Linked DNA regions of Struthio camelus. The protein of the gene in region 2 interacts with the protein of the main gene of each other region in a pairwise test. Links are inferred from orthologs where the notes say so. Each region holds a gene or a part of one and is shown on either strand. Other genes may lie near its edges.

Evidence for each region.
Region 1: the proteins of TRIM37 (region 2) and FAM107A interact in binary tests that used the Homo sapiens proteins (3 or more experiments, as listed by UniProt). The two-hybrid records come from large-scale screens. The link is inferred for Struthio camelus from reciprocal best matches to the Homo sapiens genes TRIM37 and FAM107A.

What each region holds. Positions count from the first base shown.
Region 1 is NC_090955.1:10,447,746-10,455,210, forward strand, and holds the start of FAM107A (actin-associated protein FAM107A), read right to left. Parts: upstream 3,017-7,465; 5' UTR 2,925-3,016; coding exon 2,901-2,924; intron 1-2,900. Other genes in the region: protein FAM3D, read right to left, coding at 6,182-6,271, 6,460-6,586, 6,885-6,969. UniProt on the Homo sapiens protein: Stress-inducible actin-binding protein that plays a role in synaptic and cognitive functions by modulating actin filamentous (F-actin) dynamics. Mediates polymerization of globular actin to F-actin. Also binds to, stabilizes and bundles F-actin.
Region 2 is NC_090957.1:18,435,129-18,442,385, forward strand, and holds the start of TRIM37 (E3 ubiquitin-protein ligase TRIM37), read right to left. Parts: upstream 3,003-7,257; 5' UTR 2,790-3,002; coding exon 2,769-2,789; intron 1,275-2,768; coding exon 1,173-1,274; intron 1-1,172. Other genes in the region: SKA2 (spindle and kinetochore-associated protein 2), read right to left, coding at 4,370-4,496, 5,242-5,374, 6,166-6,205. UniProt on the Homo sapiens protein: E3 ubiquitin-protein ligase required to prevent centriole reduplication. Probably acts by ubiquitinating positive regulators of centriole reduplication.

The sequences.
Region 1 (7,465 bases), on a different chromosome or scaffold from region 2:
GGGTGGCGTGAGGGACGAGTGTGGAGCGGTGGGAAATCTGGTGGAAAATGTGCAAGGGCGGGTGAGTGCCGGGGAAACGTGGCTACTTTTTAGGGTTTCATGGGATTTTTAAGCGCAGTGGGTAAAAATAATAGGCAGGCTCCGGCGCAGGGCTCAGCGGCTCGGCTGCTGAGCAAACCCTCCCTGCCCCGGCCGCGCGGCTGCCCGGCAAACGCTGCCGCGAGAGAGGGCACCCGCTGGGCAGGGCGTCCCCAGCGTCCTGCTGACCCGGCCCTGCCCGAGGGCCGGAGGCCGCGTTTCGCGCGTGCCCGGGAAATACGGGAGAAGGAGCCTTTGCTCCCGCGCCGGCAGGGTCGGGCCGCGGGTACAGCGCCCAGCCGCCAGCCCGACGTCCCCGCTCGGCGCCGGCCGCGCGCTTTGGTCAAACTGGGCGACGTTTGGGAGCTGAGATGGAAGTGAAATCTGTGACGCCCGCCGAAGAAAACCGTCCCCGAGCTTTTTGGGGCCAGCAGAGCCGGCGGGCGCGCTTCGAAGCCGGGCCGTTCAGCACCGGCCGCCTTAGGATCGCTGTGTTTCGGGAAGAGGGAGCGAGGGTGAAAGCTGTCCAAAAGCCCCTGGCCTGGGGGCAGGGGAGGATCGGAGCGATAGCTCTGAAAGCAGCTTGGAGCGGGTGGCTCTGAGCCAAGCTGCTGAACCAGCTTATTTCCTCGGTTTCAGGAACAGCCGCAGAAGCGCGCCAAGGCCCGGAGGGCACGGCGCTGACGGCCACGTGAGCGATGGCTTGGGCACCAGCCGCAGGCAGGGCTCGGACCCTCCTGAGCCTGCTGGGAACCGTTGCATGCCCCTGGCCCGACCCAGACGCGGCATCTCCGTGAGCTGGAGCGGCGCTTACCCGAAACCAGGGCAGCGCCGGCCCCTCTGACAGGCTCGCAGAGAGACGGGCTGGCTGCGAGCAGCACCTGCTTGGGATGGGGCGTTCAGTCCTTGAGGTCCAGGAGAACAAAGAAATGTTTGTGAGTCTCAGCCCAGCCCTGACTTTGACTTTCTTTCCCCCCCCCCCCCCCCTTCTCTGGGTCGCCTCTGAGCGCGTTTCTCTTGCAACACCTTCCGACGCTAGAGCCAGAAAGCACAGCAGACGCGCAGACTTCTGCACGCCGGGACCCACACCTCGCCATGCTCTTCTGAGCGTGCGGGGATGATGCCCTCCATGGAGAGGGGGAGGAGGAGGACATCACAGTGGAGACCAGAGTTGCTGTGGCTGGGGGGACATCACCCTGAGCTACCTTCTCTGCACGGACCATCTCTGCTGTAAGGGTCATAACAGGGAAAAGAAGCTGAGAAGTTTCTCCTCATGCTCCCGTGCCTGTTTTGCAAACTCTCACTAAACTGGGCCCTGAGGAACAGGTCCCCGCACCGTGCCGGGCTCGCTCCCTCAACCTGTCCCCGGGTTTTGCTTTTACGGTCTTAGCTTGCGTTCAGATGCTGAGCAGCCTCTGAAGGCAGATTTGCTCTCCTTCCGGGACCACGTGGCATTAAACACCGAGCATTATTTAGAATCAAAGGTACAGATGATAATTTTTTTTCGTTCCAGTTATTGTAACTGCTGGAGAATACTTCCCAGGCACGTGGGGAACCCTATTTCATTGACTTCCGTCAAGTTAGTGGGTTGGCTCATTTTATGTAAACCAATTAAGATGGAGTCTGGTTTAAAACGGATGAAGATCAGGTGTCAGTTGTGGATCACTGGGTGCTGCTTGTTTATAATCAGGGTCCTGGCCTGGCTCTCCTTATTTGAGGGATTTTCCATTTTAAATTTCATTTTAACTTTCTGATGGAGGGTGACAGGACGGAGCAGAAGTTCCCGTTGCTCGAGAAGCCTTTCAGAAGTTGCAAGGCCACCAGCTTTGCTGCTTCAATCTGTTTGGACAAGGTGGCACCAACAATTATTGATAGTGCTCTTGACAGCATCAACACGTGTCTTCAAGCAACTTCTTGTAGTCAGAGTAGCCTTACGTGATCAGAAAGAGCCACCAGTTTTCCCTGACCTGGTGTGGCGCACGACTGCCCTGCCGAGGAGGGAGCTGGGGGACAAGCGGCAGAAGAGACTCCAGCGTTGGTTCAGGGCAGCACCGCTGTACAGAGGTGACGTTATCCCCAGGGGCAAATTTCCTCAGGCGGAAAAGCAAGGCGACGTTAAATCCCCGATGTAAATATCTATAGCCGTCTCTGCGCGGCTCTGACTCCTTAACGCACTGTTTCCTTTCGGGGCTGTCCGACGGGTCGTGCTCCTTGGAGGAGAGGGAGCAGCTCTCGAGCGCCGCGGGGCATCGCCGCCCTGGGGCGGGAGCTGGGGGCGATTCCCAGGCCTGGAAACGCTTGGGGGGATTACGGAGCGCTTGTGGGGCCCGGGATGCGGAGGGAGGTACCCGAGCCGGGGGGCCGATTTCCTCAGCTGGTGCCCCCGGGGTGTTTATTGCAGCGGAGATCGGTTTGAGACGCAGTTTGTGCCGGAGCGCGTGGCCGGAGGGAAGAGCCCTGTGCCGCAGGGGAGCTAGCTCGCCCTCTGCGTGAGCCAGGCTGGAAGCGGGAAGGCAGCGGTGGCGGGGGGGGGGACGGAGACGTCGGCTGGGCTCAGCGCCGACGCCGTCCATCCCGGCAGCCCCCTCCTCGCTCCCCGCGTCCGTCGGCCGCGCGGACGGCCCAACTCGGCCTTTCCCTCCCGCTGCTCCCGCCGCCCTCCCGGCGGGGCCCCGCCGCCCGCGTGGCCTCGCTTAACCTGGCCGCCAGCGTGGGACACCGGTGAGCCGGCTCAGCACGCGGAGGGCAAAACACGCCGCGCGTGAGCCGCCGGCGCCTTCGCGGCCGCCCCGCAGCACGGCGTAAAACAGCCCCGTCGTTACCTTTTTCCCGTGAGCCGCTCCCATGGCGCGACGTGCGCGCTTCCCGCGGCCGCCGGCGGCGTTAAGCCCGGGGGGCCGCGCGGGCCCGCAGCTCCCGGCCCCTCGGCCGCTCCGGCGCCGAGACGCAGGCGAAAGCCAGCCGGGCTGCGGAGGGGCCGAGCCGGAAAGCTTTCTTTTCCTCCCGTCTCCCAGCACGTGGAGAACTCATTTTCTTCGTGCACCTAACGGCTGGCTGGCGCCCAGGCGCTGCCTGGGCACAAAGGCAGCTTTCATGCCGCGGATGCCCGGTTTCTAAGCCGGGACCCGTGTTTTGAGAGGCTGTGGAAGATTACGGTAATTGCACTTGACAGGGCAAGATGTCACAGGACGCGGATTCGCCCGGCGCGGGGCTCCGACCGGCCGCGAGCTGCCGTCCCCGGTGCTTGTAGGTCGTTGCCGACGGGCAGCATCCTTCCTGGCGGCTGCTTTGGTGCTTTGCCGAAAGAAACCGGTGCCGCGGCGGGGGCGAGAGGGGGGGAAAACAGCATTATCCCTTTGCAGCGGGGCTCTGTCGCTGCCGGGGGTTTTGCAAATGCGCCAGGATGGCTGTTGGCTGCCGCCGGCTGAGCCCGGGTTACCCGGAGCGGGACCCCGAGGGGCGCCGGGCAGGGCTCGCTTTCGCTGACGCCTCGGGGGGATGCAGCACCGCGAGGTTATCGTCCAGGTAGGTACCGTCCCCGGCTTGGCCATAATGCTAAACTGCTGAGGCACCAGGAAACTCCTCTGGGAGTTGTTATCCCTGCGTCCGCCACCCCCCTTTTTTTTTTTTTTTTAAGATTTTTTTTTTTTGAAGAATAAGCCCTATTTATGTCCCCGAATACCCTTTGGGACTCTGATTTATTTGCCCGATGTGCTGACTTTGGCAGGACGGCTCTTCAAAGCGCTGGTCTCTGATTAGCGTCCCTAAACGGAGCTGAAACGCGATTGCTGGTTTTGGACAGTTGTGGTGTGCCGTTGCGCTCGCTCAGCAACGCATCCAAAGCCGGTTTTAGCTGTCTATAGGGTGCTGGGACATAAACACCCCTTGGAAAGGCGTCTGGTTTAAAGCCAACATAACGTGTGTCGTGAAGGGACAGGAAGAGCTCCCCGAGGGTGACAGGGGGCTGCGGTCTCCTGTACCCCAGGTGACACCGCGCGCTCGCCTTCACGGCTTATAGCCTGCCTTTAATTTGGCTTACGAAGGAATCGAGATCCTTTGAGGGGGCTTAACATAGTCGGCATATTTGTGCTGGCAGCGCCGCAGGCCGTGTGACGGGGGGGCTGCTCTGCCTGCTGAGCTCTGCTGTTTGTCACCGCTGGCCAGGCTGTGCGGGGCTCGGTGCTTGGCGGTAGCGGCTGTTGCTGGAGCGGGTTTGCGGTGCTGCCGTCCCTCCGTGGCAGCTGGGCGCGCGTTAAGGAGGGTAATACTGAATGCAGCTGGCACAGCCGTCGGGGTGTTCCTCTGCCGTGGTTGTGCTCGGGGTTTTTCGTTTAGTTTTGTCTTTGGAAGGTCTTACAGGCATCGCGCAGCTCATTTTGAGGGTGTTTTTTTTTTTTTTTTTGGCCTTATTTAGGGAAAAATTTCAGCTCGCTTAATCTCTTCTAACATACGACACGGGGAGCTCGCGGGGTCAGGAGCGCACAGATCAGGCCGTCACCGTTACGGGGCCAAGTGGGAAGCTTTTCCCCTTTTTTGCTCCGTGCGTCTCTGCTGCAGCTTAGTGTGGGCTGGGAAAAGCATCCGCGTAAGGGGGTTCCCTGCGGCCGAGCCCCCCGCGCCGCCGAAGCGGCCGGCGTAGGTCCCGCGTGACGCAGGGCTTTTGGGGCTGCGTTTAGCCTCTCTGGAGGCGAAACCCACTGGGATAACTTGTGGGCTCCGATAACTGAGGTGAATTGTGCATTAGAAGCTGTTCTGGGAGCGAAGCCCGTTGTTATGGATGCTGGAAAGGCTGTCCAAGATAACCCTTCGTTTCCAGGCGCTTTTACTGCATTATTAAACCCAAAACGCTGGAACAGGAATATTCCACCTTTGCTCTCTGCAAAAAGTGTTTTTTCCCTTTTGAGAATGGGGGGGGGGGGGAAACGGATATGATGGAGGAAATTAAAGCCTGTTTGTGATGCAGATTTGTCCTTATCTACAGTAACAGATAAGCCTGGGCCATCGCCCACTGGGCTCCTCTGATGCCGAGCCGCGCTGGCGCGGGGGTGGTTTGGGGCACGAGCGGCACTCAGGGGTAAATGCCGTCTGCCCCGAGCCTGGGGCAGGCGCTCCCTGGGCGTTCGCGGTCTCAGATCCGCTGGGAACGGCCCCGGCAGGAGGCCGGTGGGCCCTTGCGCGCGCTGTTTGAGCAGGGATTTCTCCGGCAGCAGCACCCGGACCTGCGCCCGGCTCCCACCGCAGCCCAGTGCTCCCAGTCCCGGGCTGCAGGTGGGACTGCGTCCCCGGCAGCCAGGCTGACATCTGGGACCGGCGGCATCCCGTTTCTCCCGGTAAAAGGCTCCCACCTATTGGTTATGTTGCACAATTTCAGCTTGCTGTACCCATTGCACATCGCTCTCGCCGCTGGTGCGGTGACGCGGAGCGGACAGGGGGGTTTAACCCAAGAAAGAGGCAACGGGATGGGGGAAACGCATTGGTCTGCGAACGCGTGACCTGCGTTGCCGCGAGGCATCCCCACAGCCCGTCCGGCTGTTCCCTTGCGGCTGTAGGAGACGGCAGCGGAGGCCCCCGGCCAGCTTCCCTCTGAGTGCGCAGGGTCCCCGGGGTGCCTGTTCCCGCGGGTGACCGGTGGGAGCTCCTGGCACGGCGGATGGAGCCACCAAGGCTCAAGCATCACCAGGGCTGGCCTGCCGTTCACCGCGGGATGGTCCCCGGTGATACCCAGCAGGCGAGAGACAGGGAAAAGCGCAGATTACACTTGAAAAGGGAAGTAAGAAGGCAGTGATTGGCAACTGGCCATCTTAAAACTTAAAAGCCCTCTTGCAAAGTCTTGGTGGCTTAAAGACAGAAAAGTAAAATCCCCCAAACTGACCCACGCTAGAACAGCTTGGGTGAAGCCTGGCTGGACGCTTGCTCAGGCTTGGCAGGGAGTCTGGTACGCCGCTTTTCCCAGTACCGCGCAGTCCCTGCTACGAAATTGCCCGTCGTTTGGCAGCAGGCAGCCGGTGCTGGATACGGCGCTCAGGAGGTGGGGAGCCGGAGCCGGTTCAACGCGACCGGCTTGCCCGGAGCAGCCTTTACCACGGTGGGGGCTCGCGCCCCGCTAGTCCATCTTGCGCGGGGCGCAGCCTTCCATCTCCAGCACCTCGGGCCAGCCGTCGTATTTGTTCGTCTCCTGGTTGTTCTTGATGTGCTGCGGAAGAAAACGAGGAACTAAATGGGGAGTTGGGTGGCAGGGCGAAATCGCAGGGCGGCGAAGCCTGCGGACTGCTCTGACGCGATGGATGCCGCCGCCGGCCTGCGTCGCCTGCAAGCGGGTAGATGAGACGTGCCGCGGGGAGGTGGAGAGCCTCCACCACGGGAGCGCACGGGCGACCGTACCTCTTCAAAGGGGGTCTTTGTGCTCATCCCCTTGGCTCCTAAGAAAACCCAGTTGTCGCGGAAGCCCAGCTTGCTCACGTGGTTGCTGCCCAGCTTGGTAAAGAGCATCCGGATTTTGTCGTTCATCCTCAAAGATGAAAGAAAAGACGTCAGAAAACCTCAGCGCGGTGCCAGGTCGGCGTCCCCCACCGCTGCCCCGTTCCCGCCCCGCGTCCCCTCCGTACAAGGCCGCGGGGCATGTCCCGTCCCATCCCGTCTTGCACTTCTGCAGTGGGGCTGTAAAGGAGCCATCGTGCGTGCAGAGCTGGAGCCTTGTCCGGGCAGGGTGGGATGGGGGGACGGGGCGGCAGGAGCAGCAGCAGCTCTGGTTCATCCCCATCTTGGCTGCGGCTTTTGGGAGAGCCGTTCCCGGGGGCTGGACTCACTTTGTGGCGGGGTCGTCGAAGGTGGCCGTCAGCACGAAGGTGCCGTCCTTGATCTCCGTCAGGAAGGTCTCCAGTTCCTTCACGTCTGGGAGAGGGGAAGCATTAAAAAAAAAAAAAAAAAAAGAATGAAAAAGAAGGATTCAGCTGGGACCGCTGGATGGCAGATGCGGGAAACTCCTCTTAGTAGGAAATATGGTGGATATGTTGGATCAGCCAGGCAGACGCGGGGGTCGTGGGCCTGGAGGGGGCTCTCCCACTTCGCACTCCACCTGCACCCGGACCCGCCGAGGAGCTGCTCGCCTCCCGCTGGCAGGGCAAGCGGAAGGAGGGCTTTGTCCCAACATTTGCTCACTAACTGGGAAAACCCCGCTGCACGAGTTCGCTTCCAAACAACGGAAGGGAGCCTGGGTCTCCCGCGGGGCTGCGGGGCCGGGTCCCCGTCAGCGGCCGCGTCTGAGGCTGGGCTCGGCCGCTGAAGCCGGCTGCCCTACGGACTCCAGCTTTATTGCACGAATGACTCTTCGTCCTGTGTCCGCGCCGGCGGTGTGGGACGCTTTAGGCCAACGTCCCGTCTAGGGGCA
Region 2 (7,257 bases):
AACTTAAAAAGAGAATCTTCAGGTACCTAATATTCCATGAGAAAACCTACTGCAGATTCCCACAGTTATAGACTAAAGAGCACGTTTCAACAAAAGAAAGCATAAGATATAGCAGATGCATTTTTCCTACTCTAGATGTTCGTCTTCAGGGTAACTTATTTCTTTCTTCTTGGGCTACTTACAACGCAAGTAATAAATCTGCAGTCCAATTATCAAATCTATATAGACTGTTCGAATGTTTCTCTTCCAGAAAGTTTCATTCAAAGATAAGTAGCTCAGGAAGGAACTTCAGCAGTCCAGTATAACTTACACATTTTAAAAAGTTCAGCAATTGAGAGGCTTATCTTTTGTCAGCTCACTACTACGCTTAAAGGTTCTCCATGAAAATATCTGTTGAAACTATCTCTTGCCACACACCAACAATAGGTCATCTAACATTCTTTTTATGTAGCATGAATACCTCCCATGTAGTTCTTTGCAGAGCTTTCAAAGAAGGTGATAATTGTTTACTTTGAGCTCTGGAAACACTATCCCAGGTCTGAAAACCTCAGCTGAACCCTTATTTAATCCACTACACATAGCAAAGTCTGGACTTGGAACTTAAGTATTATATATTGGTAACTATCACCCTAGTAAGTGAATTAAAATACTCTGGATGCTGCTTCAGCCTACTATACCAGACTCCCTCAAGAAGGCTTTAACAAGTGTGTGATCATGTCATACCAGGTTGGTAACTATTTTCAAAATGTATTTAACAGGATTAAAACACCTCCAAGATGACAGGAAATGTTATGACCTTTCAGTGTTCCATACAGACATCTGAAAGATCAGTATTTGCTTTCTGTTCCAACTTCTTCCTCTGTCCATATAGGCATCACTGACTCTGAAGAGGTGTTAAAGAAGAGGCCATCATATGCCTGTTCTTTAAAAGCAATTCTTACAGATAATCACTATAATTAGCACTACTTTATATAATGCACAGCATGCCTAGTCTCTCAGGGTGTCATAAAAGCTTTTGAAAGGGAAAATAAAGAGCACAGAGGAGGAAAAAGGAATCCTCAGAACCCCAGGAAAGGAGACAGGAAAAGAGCAAGAACGCGTTCTTAAGACCAGTAGCTCTGAGTTTTTAAGTGTATACATGTGCAAGAGTAAACTATGTTAAGTAAACTCACCCGAATACAACTGAAACAACATAGCTTGGAGCAATGGGGACACAGACGTGCATCACGCAATTTCTCCATACAAATAAAACATCGGAATACTTCAGCAATGCTCTGCAAAGGTTAGATTAATGCTATTGTTATGCCACAAACGTCAAACATTTATTTTCTAGGCAGAATGCCAGGTTTAATAAATAGAGTCCTATTCCAAACAGCTATGCATACTGCATCTTGGAGTAGGGTACCGGCTCAAACATCATGGCTCTCTTCCTCATTTCCTTTTACATCCCACCAGCACTCAGTGTCCATTTTAAAACGCTATGCTTCTTCCAGGAAGAATTTCCTTGTTGGATTTATCTTTTACCAACTAGGCATTTCTGTAGCCAAGAGCCATTATTCCTATTTGTATTCCCATGGTTGACAGTTGCCAGAAACAACTGTGCTGTATATGCAGATTCTCAGCCTATGAATTTCAATGTACTGGCTACGCTATGACCAATTCAAAAGCACATTAAGTACCTGTATATATCATACAGAATGTTAACTAGAAGGGTTGAATTGGACAGGTTATTTTCTTGACTTCTGTAAGACTTAAAATAATTTAAGGTCTACCATTACCATTAGATCCACAATTTCTCTGCCCCCCCCCCCCCCACTAAATTAATCTTGGGCAATAAAATCTGGTTTAACATACTGTTTCACTATACCCATTCCAACAGAGAAGTAATTTGTTCTTGAATATAACCACTTCATCTCTCTCCATTCCCAAAATTAGGAAAGTATTGCAAAATATCAAACCATATTTGCTTGTCACACTGATGGATTTTTCACCAATAAGGATTTTCCAAATATAGACTGCATGACTTGCCAGAAGGCACATTCTAAGAAACAAGAGTAAGGTTTGGAAAGTCTTGCAGCCTGTATTATATAGGAGTTAGATCCCTTCTGGCCTTACCTAAAGAACTTTGAAAGATTTTTTCAAATGGGCTATTTTTCCCTCCAGAGTTAAAACTATCATCGGCACAAAGCGAGCCGTATCGTCAATTTACAGATATCACAGCATCTCCTGTACCCTGATGTCCTTTTTAATCGCTGTAAAACCAAACAGATGCATTTACAGGAAGCTACGCGTTACATCTTTTAAACTCTTCGTCGGCTCGGCTCTCAGCACAGCAAGGTAGACAAGGCGTTCAGGTTACTCCTCTCGCAGGGCGCTCTGCCCTCACGCGTGCCAGAGCCGGTTCTGCCGGTGTCAGGGTCTCCCTCCACCTCAGGAACAGGCACCTGCCACGCTCCCCGGACACCTTCGCTAACCCGGGCCGTGTAAAACGACCGCGCGCCGCCTGGAAGCGCTACCGCCTCGCAGCCTTCCTCCCCACCGCCGTCGCAGGCGGGAAAGGCCCGCAGAGGAGCCGCTCTCCCCTCACGGGAGGGAGCGGAAGCCATCGCCAACCCCCTCCCCCCCCGCCAGGCCCCCGGCGGGGGAACGGCAGCCCGCTGCCCCGCAGAGGCGCACCTGGGCGGGCAGCGCCCTCCGCCGCCCTTCCCGCCCCCCCCCCCCCCCCCCCCCGGCGCAGCGCCACCGGCAACCGCCGCCCCGCGGCTCACCTCCACGCTCTGCTCGTCCATGGCCGCGGCTCGGCCGGCGGCGGAGCTGCTCCCCGGCCCCTCTCCCCGCCGCAGTGCCCGGGATGGGAGGGAGGGAGGGAGGGAGGGGGTTGTGCCACAGCGCCGCGCACCCTCTAGGTGCCGGCCATGTTCGCCGCGGCGCGCGGACTGCTCCGCCCTGCGGCGCCGGGAGCGGGCCCGCTCGCCCCTGCCCCGCCGCAACGCGCACGCGCCGCGCCCGCAGGAGGCGGGGCCCCGCCTCGCCGCCCGCGGCCGTTGAGGGGCGGCGCTGCCCCTCCCCCCCAACGGCGCCGGCCTCCTGTCAGACACAAACGCTCACAACTGACCGGACTGAGGCCTGCTCTACGTATTAACGAAATCAAAGACGAGCCCCTTCACCTACCAGAGAGGCGCAGCGCTCAGGGCCCTCTTCCCCGCGGGCAGCTGCTGTCATCGCTAAGGCTTAGAGCCCTTTGAACAAAACTCCCTGCAGTTGTTGCAGGAGAAACACGCTCCTCAACGCCTGTTTTTATCCAAGCTCAAACTTTGCGATCCTTTTGTAACAATTATCTGTGTACGCATGACATTTATTGAAAACAGACAGAAGTACATTAAATGTTTATACAGATTTTTCACTCAGAAGACAGTCTATTTGACAGTGAAGACAAAAATGTTACTCGCATAATATATCAAAGTATATAGAAGAGTTCAGTGCTTAAAAACAGGTGGCTCATGTGAATTCGGAGGGCTGCACTGATCACTGCATCCTCTGCAGGGAAAGGATTTTCCTTGAAGTGTTGGCTTTGATTTTGGGATTGTCTCTTTCCGTAGTGCAGTAGTAAACACAAATTATAAGAGTCACACGGGCAAGTCGGTTACTTTCTCAGTGGGCACAAATTGAAGGACGGGAAATTCTATTTCAACACTAGAAAACTTTTCTTTTTTTTTTTTTTTTTTTTAAACTGCGAGAGTGGTGAAACAGTGGAACAGGTTGCCCAGAGAGGGTGTGAAGTCCCCAGCCTTGGAGATGCCCAAAAGCTAACCGGACGTGACCCAAAGCAACCTGCAGAGACCCCGGGCAGAGCAGGGGGTTGGATTAGATGATCTCCAGAGAGCCCTTCCGACCTCGGCTGTTCTGTGATCCTGTAATTTCATTGGACTGTAACAAAGACAGCGCACATCAAGGCAAAACGAAAAGGTCAGGGGCCAGCGGACATTTAAAAACATATATAATTAAATCTATGGCCTCCTTAGCTTTAATCATTTATTCAGGAATGTAAGTACAATTAAATGGTTTGGGTTATTCATTGTAAAAACCCATTCAGGAATGTAAACAGGAATATGGAAAAGTCACACGGTTAACAATACTCTTCAAAAATGCATCTACGATAGACCTATAAATGTCCAAGATAAATTTCCAACCTCAATGTTTAACTCTGCAATTTTAAGTTTTATAAATAGAATTTGTATACAGAAAAATTAACAGCTTTCTAACAGTGTACTGGTAACTCCCAGACATCAGAGAAATACTTCCTTGTTAATAATCCAGGAGCTATAACCAACATGCTTGTGTGTCAAATAAGAATGGACTGAGCTTTCATTTACGCCACTAATTTAACATTTCCATGTTTGTCAAGTTCCACAACAGAGAGTTCCTTCAAGATGCGTACTCTTGAGTCAGTGGCTTTCATATTCATCTTGTTCATCTGTGAAACGCTGAGTGCTGCTCTGCAAGACAAGAGCAAACTATTCAGCAAAGCAGGGTATCAAACATCAGGCCTGCCAGAGAGTGACTAAAAAGCCCATACTGTTTAGAAGACTGATTTTTGCAAGGGCTCTGCAATTCTCACACTTATGCACATTGCCATCCATTTCACTGTGCTGCTTCAAAGAACAGTCCAAGCTCAGTGTCAAAGACAGAATTGTTAGGTTAAAAGCTTCTTCATTCTTTACCATCAGCCTGTGAGAAATCTGCAGCAGAAATCACAGACAGAGGTCAGGGCTCAGAGTCAAGGGCTAGAGTCAGGGTCTGGGGTCAGGACTGAGGTGAGGAATTTGGGTTAGGGTTTTGCTTTTCCAGGTTATGAAAGCTAGAAAGGTTTTCCAGTATGACTGTGTCAGCAAAACTTTTCTGAGTAGACCCAGTTTTGGACATCTGTTCAGTGACTCCAAGGTTAAAAAAAAAAAAAAATCTGTTTCTGAAGAACTGGACATGCAGTTTTGAAAATTATCAAACGATATAAACCATTTTTATATAAATAAATTTGGGGAGTTTCCTAGGAGGGCATATCACTTTGGGCTATATACCCAACCAGTAAAGGCATAAGTGAGGGAAATCAAATTTTGAAGTTATAGTAGAGCAGCAAATAGTTAACCACTTTCAGAGTTGACAACTGTTTTTATTCAGTTTAAAAAGGCTGGAATTTCTTTACAGATTATAAGAGTCTTATTAATGGATTCCTTCAAGTCTTACCTGTTCTTATTGATAACAAAGTGGTTAAATAACTCCCTGTAAAAATTGTTCAAGTCTGCCAGCTTAACAGTACTTCTGATACTCCTTGGTACAGTCATAAGCGTTTCTTCAGTCAATGGTTTGAATTGTGATTCTAGAAAATTGAAAATAGAAGGCATTTATTTCTTCAGAAATTAGGCCACAGATAGATAGTACTTTCATACCTTTGTAAGAAAACTCCTAAATGATTCTGAAAAAGATTTTACTGCAGGAGGAAGGAGAGAGGGAAGACACTCCCTCCAAACTACCATTGTTTCTGCCGACCTAGTGAAAAATAATTTAATTTGAAATTTGATATGGATTAATAAATTTGGTCTGTCAGAGACTAGTTAAAAACAATCACTAAGAAAACTCCTTTTTATAAATAAGGATGAACAGATTAAGCAAGAGTTATTTCTATGGCACAACTAGTACACCATTTTCTTTCTTCCAGACTAGAGGCACAACAGGATCCACTTAAATCCCCTCATCAGCAAGAGCAGCTCCCAGAGACATGGGAGCTACATGTGGAATATAACTAAGCGCTCAGTTTCTTATAGTAAAGTATAAATTCTTCACTTCATGTAAAAGCAGTAGTTACTAGAGCTTAAGAGAATGAAAACAGTGAATTTACTGTGCTGTTACTGAAGGTTTTTTTACAGTCTCTGTCTTTTTCAGAGAGTAAAACAGCTTAATTCATTAATCCCTGAATTCTAGATAGTAACTCTAATAGTTCTGGGATACTTAAACATATGAAGTTCAACACTGAAGATGGAAGCCTTAGGAAAGATTGATATTATTTGCAAAACTTATTTACAGGGCCTGGGGTGGGAGGAGGCGGGGGATCAGTCTTCATGCTCAAAAAGAAAAGGGAGCAGTAGAAAGATTTTTTTCCCCAGCACTCACCTTCAGTTGAGTCAGGGACTGTAGATTCCGAACTAAATGGCTAAAAATAAATGAGAGATAATTTCAGGATTTGTTGAAATTTTATTTAGAAATTAGTTTTTACAACGAGCATTTCTGTATTAGTAACTACATTTTACCACTGGATACCAAGGATCTCACAGCTACTGAAGTTAACAGCAAAATCTTATGCGTTAAATAAATTCCAATTTCAAATAAGAATAGGTTTAAAATGCAAACAAAAAGATTCATATGCAAGTCAGATAAGCCTCTTCAGCTTTCTCCTCTGCATTCCAGTATGGATCTAGCTGAAAGCACTGCACATGCAGCAAAGGAAAAAGACGGCTTCCCTGTTCTCCAGCAACCCTCAGAGTTGACAGTTTTGACAAGCTAAAGGTAGCTATATCTAACTCTTCTCTGCCAGAAATTCAGCATTAACAACAATAACAAAAAAAACAAAACAAAAAACCAAAACAGGGCCTTTGTGGTATCTTTCCCTTCTTTCTGTCTTTCAGAGACTTTTAGAATATCTTCAAAACACACGTAATAACAACATAGGGACTCATACCAATTAAACAACCTTTAATGTGAGCAGGATATAGCTACATTTTGCACGAGGTCTGTTTTTATGCCAGCTGTATCTTAAGGGCTTCAGAATTAAATAATGGAAAGACAAAAATTGAGAGGATTTAATCAAGGTAGGAGAAGATATTTGCAAAGGAAGAGTGAATGAAGCAGAAAGCCAGTATCATACTGGAAGTCTTTCATGCAAACCAACCGTGGCAATAAAGGGACAGAAAGAGAGACATCCTTTGATAGAAAAGGAGTAGGCAGTGAGAAGAAGTAGAAAAAGATAAGGTCAGTAAGATAATTACAGTCTGCTAACTTTCTTTAATATTTTGTTTTTAATGTAAGACCCATACCAAGTCTTTGCAGATGATTATCACTATTAGAATGTTGTGCTTTCAGGAGCTTTGAGAAAATATCCGACTTTTTAACAAGTATCATTTATATCTACATTCTATTGTGTTATATATTATGTGCAATATGCTTCAATTACTCTTACTCATACTCCAACCTGTATTTAATATTTTA